Neodiprion lecontei: one gene and its partner. The protein of the gene in region 2 interacts with the protein of the main gene of each other region in a pairwise test. Links are inferred from orthologs where the notes say so. Each region holds a gene or a part of one and is shown on either strand. Other genes may lie near its edges.

Region 1 (3,756 bases), about 2.2 Mb from region 2:
TAGTTCCTAAAGTACATGTACACAATGGTAAGAAAAAAGTCTTGGTGAAACACAGCTGAAGAAATTAGAGTCTCGTTTAAAAGCACACTAAATGTGTATATATTGACAGTAAAAAATCTGTAATCTCTCTAAACATATATTGCGCAATGATTAATTGCATAAATCGTTCATAGAATTGAACTAACGCAATTTAAGCAAAACACTGTCTACTTCATCGACAACGTTAACAGCAAAAAGCATCATGCATACATTGCTAAAAAAAAGGCTCGTTTAAGGCGTGGAATTGATTTTAGAAATATACTTTGTATTAATGAAATGTTTAAACTCCCCAGCTTTTTATCCCCTTTTATCGAACCTGACGTCAAACTTTGGTAAACGCTATCAGACTGCACATTTTTCACTCGACTGTTGAGAAATTTCACCTGAACCAGGGACGTTTTTTAGACCCAATTAATCGTTTCTTCATTTCAGATATCAACGCGCGACGGCAAAACGCCTTGCCGACAATTAAAACGTTCCGCTTAAGTCGGCGTTGTGTGAGTCTGCTGCTGCTGCTGCGGCGGAGAAGTGGTCGGAACACTGGGTCTGTAAAATCTATTTACCAGCTGCTTCAGACTTAGGATACTTCCGAGACCCGTTCCCGGTTCCATGTTTATGAAAGTGTCCAGATTATCCTTGCAGGCTGAGAAACGAAGTTGAGTGAGTATGTAAAGTTCAAAATCTGTCGATTCCAAGGCCACAAATTCTGATCAGTCTGAAAACTTACTTGGAGTAGAGATCGGAGGATATTCAGGAGGGGTTTTGATCCATGTGCCGTCTTCTCGTTTCATGTGCTGCCTGTTGGAGGCGAAATGCTGCAGGTACGTCGCAGCAGGGACTAGTCTGAATCTCCTGTGGTACTCGGAGCGCAAAGCTTCGTCGGACCTGAACGTTTCCGTTGCGTATTTCCAGAAATGAGTCGGAAATGGAAGAGCGCTGTCTAGATCGTAGACCACCGCTCTGTCGTCAGGTGCGTAGATTAATATTGCGTGATAGTCCTGTAGAGTGAAAAGAAATAAAGTGGTGTAAAACGATGTCTTGCTATGAGTGGTTGAAAAATTCCAGTATGGGCAGGAACCAGTCGATCGGTTTTCACAGTCTAGAGACCTGACACAAGATTTGAAAATTTAGCCAACCATCCATCAAGACGACAATACTGACCCAAAGGACAAGCTGATCCTCATCCTTGCCAGCCTTCTGACGCCAGAGAGGAACGCTTCTTCCAGGATTGCTGATGAAAGCGACGTAGCAGTGTTGCAATTCAGGGCCGTGCCTAGTGGCGACGTCCTGGCATAGCTTCCATACGTTTTCTTCGCTGAAATATGGAAAAGAGTTCATCTCGGTGTAAATAAAAGTGAGATGGGAAATAGAAGGCGAGAGAGAGAGAGAGAGATAGAAGTTGAAACACGAGCGGACCTCGACGAGGTGCCCGAAGTGTTTTGATTGAATAATTTATACAGTTTAGAAGTGATTAAAGCGAAAAAGCGTGAGCGTAATAACGGTGTACACAACAAAGGTCGCTACGTTGGATAAACTCGGCGCGATTCGAGGGATGATTTAGATATAAAAAGTGGGATAAAAACTGCAAAAACATGCAAAGTATGTACATCGCGTGCGCGGCTGGTGTCGTGTCCGTGCCTGTTATCGCGGGGTGAATTATTAACGCCGATAAACCCGCGTAACTCTCCCGCATTAATACAAATCGGGTCGTTGTTGGGTTCGCGGGCTAATAACAATAACACGTCGCTTGAAACAGGCCGGGCGTCCAATGACGGGCTCGGAATTTTGGCGCGAGATAAAGAAGCGAACGCGATTGGTCGGTGGCAAGTCTCTTTAAAAATGGCGTCGTATCCTGGCAGGGCACGACCGCAAGAATCCCACAATCCGCGATATCGATCCCCGATACCTGTGCCGCAGTACGACACTGGTCAGTGAAAAGAAAATGAACGATAAAATGAGCAAGGAGGGTATCGAATTCGGCGGAAACTCACCAGTAGCAACTCGTGTGGACGCAGTCCGAGGCTTTGGTGAATAGCGGGACAAGAGGCTTCGTGTTTCCAGCACCACGCGATTCCGCAGCCATCCTCGAGTCTGTTTACACTCGATCAGCCGATATTGGTTCTACCTTCGATTTAATGTTCAATTGTTATTCGCGCTTGTCTGCTATTCTGGTGATATTTCACCGCGTTATCGCCGCGTGATACTCTCACACTTCATGACACTTTTCATTCACCCCAATTTACGCAAAATTACTATCGTCACGCTTATTTTATCGGGAGTTTTCGCTCTTCGTAACGCTTTTTATTCACCGGTAATAAGCGGTTCTTGCGTCGTCTGCAAGCGAAAAACGGAGTGGCGAGAGCTCGGCAGCTATGATTTGCCTGTTGAGTGGGGATTTCGGGAAGGCTTTTTATGTATCTCTCTGCATCGGTATTCGCACATTCGCTTTACTGCGCAGGCCGCAGTTCTGATTTTTTTATTGCGACCTTCTTTTGTCATGCGGATTTCCCGCCGGTAGCGCCATCTCTCAACTCGATGCGAACAGATCCGCTTCTTTATTGGCTGATAGCCTGACCTAACCTAACCTAATCCGACTCGGCTAAACCCCAAAGAAGATTAGATAGAAGGGCCTGGGCCAGAGGGAACGCTCAAAGAGGATTAAACCCGAAACTGATACTACTACCCATGAAATTTGCAGCTCTGTACCCAACTCTTTTCGATTCGTCGTAATTGCGGGTTAAAGTATCGTCGAGCAGATATCACAGTTTGGATCATGGCTCTGAGCGCTACGAAGGCGATCCTTCGCCACGGGAAAACGGCTTTATTTGTTTGCGATATGCAGGTGAAATTCGCCAAGGCTATATTCGAGTTCGATAAGATCGTCGCTAACTCTGCGAAGCTGGTAATTCGAGATTTAATTTTTTTTTAAATCATATTGAAGCTAGTAACATCATCTTAGTTCCTTAAAAAATCATTGTAAAATTAGAAAACTAGTAATTTTTCCCCAATGCTTAGTTACAATAACGATACTAACATTAATTTCGTTTTTCTTTCTATCATCAAATCATTAGCGATCTGAAATTATCGTATCATTCTCATCTCCCAGGTGAACGGCATGCGCTTGTTGGATGTACCGATCATTGTTACCGAGCAGAATCCTAAGGCTTTAGGAAACACAGTTTCGGAACTGGATATAACAGGTGCAAAAGGACCGTTCGCAAAGACCAAGTTCAGCATGTACACTGAAGAAGTAAGGAGAATCTCGTTTATCCAGTTCTCCTAAAACTTGATATTATGATAAAGAATTCTCTTTAATCCTGTTCCCGTTCTCTTTGGAAGTTAAAATCTTAGTCAGTAAAATAGCGACGAATCACACGGTAGCATGTTGTCTGAATTCAGGTGCGCAAAGAACTTTCTACGCTCTGCTCAGGTGGTCCTCCAGAGTCGGTAGTTCTCATTGGGATCGAGGCACATGTTTGCGTCGAGCAAACTGCACTGGATCTTACCGCCAATGGGTTCCAGGTCCATGCGGTGGCCGATTGCTGCTCGTCTCGCACGCAAGAGGACAGATTGCTTGCGATCGAGGTAATGAAAGTGCTTGACGCATAGGACATAACTTATTCAAACCACACCGAAAATTTGGTGTAAATAGTGAATAATATTTGTAATTGCGAATACTCTAGTGATTTACGCTGTTTCAATTCCTTACAGAGAATG
Region 2 (3,756 bases):
TTTTGTTTTACATTTACCCAACGTTCGAAAGTATTCAAGGAATGAAAAATGTGTTACTCCTTTTGGTGTGAAAGAAGTAGAATTAATTTTAGCAGCTTCCATAAGTCTTGAAAATTTTGAAAATCGTTTTATATCTCTTATTGATAGTGAACACCTGTTGATTCATTATACAACAATTTCAATCCCTACAGTGATTATCGTCACATTATGAAATACTACCAAATACAGTTCATTTACGTAATGGAACAACTTTCACTTTATCCTTCATTTTCGTACCATTGCCATTCGCAAATCTATATCATATCAGTGCGAAATTTATTATCTTTCAATGCCGGTGAGTGGAACTAAATTAATTTTAACGATAATTGTTAATTAGTCTCTAATCTGTGACACGGACATTTGTCACATCGAATATGTTGCAACAGAGTTGCGTGACAGTCACAAAAACATTTTTCTTATTTTCATGACTAAAGATGCAGCTTTTCCATTACCAGCCTCACGGAATAAAGAAAGTTGACAGTTTTAGCATTGTTTAGGTTTGTAGTTAAAATTTGTGACTAAGTAGATGCCAAATGGATGAACAACAATAATTAAATATCTTTTCATCGGGAATTAAACTAATTTAGTTATGACCGCAGGTAAAGTGCAGATTGTCTCTTTTTACTGTTTTTTCAGGCCATGCTTGATAAATTAATCTATATCCATAAGCTCGTACGGACGACATAACAATAAAGTTATCAGTATTTACTCAACATTACGTAAGCTGCCTTGCCTCACGTTGTCTCTTGCTGATATATACAACCGTACAACAAAGTTACGTACGTATATATGCATAGGTACAATATGCGCCGGTGGATGCACACAGTGACCTTGAGTCTGACTCGCGGATGAGGAAGCATGACAGTGTGCAACGATTAAGTAACCGTCACTTGACTATCGTCCTAATTCTAAACATCTGTAGAACTCTGAATAAATGAAAAGTTTGCATCGCTGCAGAAGAGTCGATGGTAATTGAATTGTAGTGAAAATTTAGAGGGGATTATCGTAATCATGGTTGATCGAATTGTCACATATTTTATTCAAGTAAGATAGGAATCTGCGATTCACGATTTTGCAGAATCCTCGATTTTTCGCAATTCATGAATATTGTGTTATCATTGTAATTGTAGGATAGCAGGTGTTTTGTTTTTCTCGTTCAATATGTAGTAGCAACAGCAAAACTGATTCGGTAGTGATAAATTGTCAGATTTTAATAGAGTTTCAAGTACAGGTTGGGCGAAAGTACGAGAGGTGCGAATAAGTGAGAGGAAAATGTGTGATAAAATTGGAGTAAAAAAAGGTGCGGGGAGAAAAAAAAGGAAAATGAAAAGGTGGAATATCAGGTTATGTTGAATCCGCACGGTGAAAACGAACGATCGGTACAATTTAATCTACTCACGCTTTATCCATAAGCTCACGCATTTTCCACATGTTCATCATCTTGACGTTTTTTCGTTTGTACAATTTTCTTTGTTACCGTTATTCCAGCGGGCTAATTAAATATCCAGATGTTTTATCTCGCTCATTTGAGCCGTGTCGTTGATTAATCGGCACTCGTTTCCAATGATAGAAACGTCAGCAGACAACCGCCATCTTTGTCGTGTGTACAACACGTCTGCCAGACTTCGACTCGACAATTTAGACGGAAAACGTCTGGCGCGAAATTTAATTTATCGATAAATCAAACCACCGATGAATTTTTTTTCAAATTTTAACCACTTGTTAATTCGGAAAAAAAATCCACGCAACGCGGACGCCGATATATCGTCCCTCTTTCACACTGTCAAATTATCCACACATTTGGCGAATTCGCTCGTAGCGCGAAGGCAGATCGATCTGGCGGTAACTTTTTGAACTTTTTGACACCCACACGCCTTTTGCTTCGTATCTGTGCGTATGTTCCAACTACTCATTGAGTAACCGCGGTAAATACGTGTCTTATTGTACGTAACGTGTAGTACGAATCAGTCAATGACTTTTCTTTCAATGATTAGTTTTTTTTAAGTAGTTCTGAAATCATCCGCTAGGTAGTCCACCATTACTATCTGAGACTTATTTGTCGAGTTGTTGTCTTTGCTAATTTGTTTTTATATTATATTTTGTTGAACGTGGAATGTTTTCTAATTGCTTGTACGACCTTTAACTTTTGTTGTTGCACGTTTTGAAGTATCATATAATGATGTCGATGTATGCCTGAGTGTTTTCGTAATATAATGAAATACAAATACAAGTTAATTTTCTGTCTCACGGTACGGTTGACGAGAATATGGAAAATTGCGATAAATATCAAATGTTATCTACGAATTTCGATGGAAAATTGGAGGGTAATAAGTTGAGATATAATAGGTGTATTTTGGAAATTTGTTCGACTCATTTCTCAACTTTATGAAATTTTTTAAACTTGCGCTGATCTCGGTTACAAAATGTCTGTTATAAACCTAAAGTTTAAAAAAATTCATCGTTCCTGATATTCTCTAACAACGTCATTTTGCTAGAATTTTGTACGTACGCGATAGCTTATGTTATTAAATAAATAAAACCACCCCCGCCAGATTTATTCACCCAAGTTTCAAATAAGCTCTGCTCTATTTATGGCGCGAAACTTTTGAATTTCCTCTTCGTTTATTTTGTATTTGAAAATTGATACCCTGTCAATTTCAGAAGATTAGATGCGTATAGTACAGAATTTGCTATGCAGTCGTGCACCCATCGTGCACTTCATAAGCGAAAAATAAAAGGACTCTACACGCCCTAGTCACGCAGTTTTGACCGCCATTTTATTTCTGTGGAACAAATGACGTCATAGAATTCAAATTGAAACTTCGTTGCAATGGATTTAACGTTCTTTATTTTGAAATATCATCTTCCGCAATCGTGGTGAATCTTGAATTGACATCAACAGGGAGGACAAAAACCGGATGCAGTGAGGCGTGCATCCGTTCTATTCATCGTCGAAACGAACGTTGGGAGGTGGCGTGGCTTGTCATGCACCTGCCACCTTACGGGCTGGGATGACTGCTGGTCAAATATGGCTCCACGTTGAACGCCAATGCAGGGTTCTGTTCCGACGAGTGAATAAACATCACACAAGTATAATTCCGTGTTAACTCGTTATTCAGTTTCAACCAGAAACCAGAAAGTACACTCGACCGCATGCCAGTCAATCCAAATTGTCAGCCATGAAGAGAGTTGTTCTTTTTATCAACGGGACGGATGTCAACGGCAAGGTAAAGTACTCTGTTTGATCATGCAAGTAGTCATTTTATTGTTTCCATCAAGTATAAATCCAACCTATGATTAACGTGAAGTTGTTCGAGAGTATCATGATTTACGTGCATCTTTAAAGCGGCGTTATCACTGATATTTGACTAACGTAGTGTTCAGGCGCAACTCGCTTCGCGCCTAATTTGGTTTGATTTGAATTTACCGATTGATAATATTTCATAGTTTCGTGTGATTTATTGTTTGTAGGTATTTATGGTGACGCACTCTATCGACGAGCTTCTATGTGCAGCTAGTTTGAAGTTTGAAATATCCGCTAAAAGGCTGTTCACACCGCACGGCGGAGAAATTGACGATTTGAAGCTCATCAGGTGAGCTGTACGAAGCGTTACTTTATTTGATTCGAATCGCAGAGAAAAAATTCCAAAGATGTAAATTGAAATACAGAGATTTCGATTGTTGATAAATTTTTTATCCATACCGACCAGGGATGAC

The links. The genes of interacting proteins can lie anywhere in the genome.
Region 1: the proteins of BTB/POZ domain-containing protein KCTD9 (region 2) and protein N-terminal glutamine amidohydrolase interact in binary tests that used the Homo sapiens proteins (3 or more experiments, as listed by UniProt). The link is inferred for Neodiprion lecontei from reciprocal best matches to the Homo sapiens genes KCTD9 and NTAQ1.

What each region holds. Positions count from the first base shown.
Region 1 is NC_060262.1:1,654,919-1,658,674, reverse strand, and holds the start of protein N-terminal glutamine amidohydrolase, read right to left. Parts: upstream 2,432-3,756; 5' UTR 2,123-2,431; coding exon 2,031-2,122; intron 1,355-2,030; coding exon 1,201-1,354; intron 1,038-1,200; coding exon 767-1,037; intron 683-766; coding exon 522-682; 3' UTR 1-521. Other genes in the region: isochorismatase domain-containing protein 1, read left to right, coding at 2,813-2,941, 3,146-3,289, 3,439-3,624, 3,751-3,756. UniProt on the Homo sapiens protein: Mediates the side-chain deamidation of N-terminal glutamine residues to glutamate, an important step in N-end rule pathway of protein degradation.
Region 2 is NC_060262.1:3,817,000-3,820,755, reverse strand, and holds the start of BTB/POZ domain-containing protein KCTD9, read left to right. Parts: upstream 1-1,014; 5' UTR 1,015-1,050; coding exon 1,051-1,083; intron 1,084-1,438; coding exon of another isoform or gene 1,439-1,479; exon of another isoform or gene 1,480-1,897; intron 1,898-2,941; exon of another isoform or gene 2,942-3,158; coding exon 3,159-3,266; intron 3,267-3,510; coding exon 3,511-3,632; intron 3,633-3,749; coding exon 3,750-3,756. Other genes in the region: telomere length regulation protein TEL2 homolog, read right to left, coding at 1,439-1,479. UniProt on the Homo sapiens protein: Substrate-specific adapter of a BCR (BTB-CUL3-RBX1) E3 ubiquitin-protein ligase complex, which mediates the ubiquitination of target proteins, leading to their degradation by the proteasome.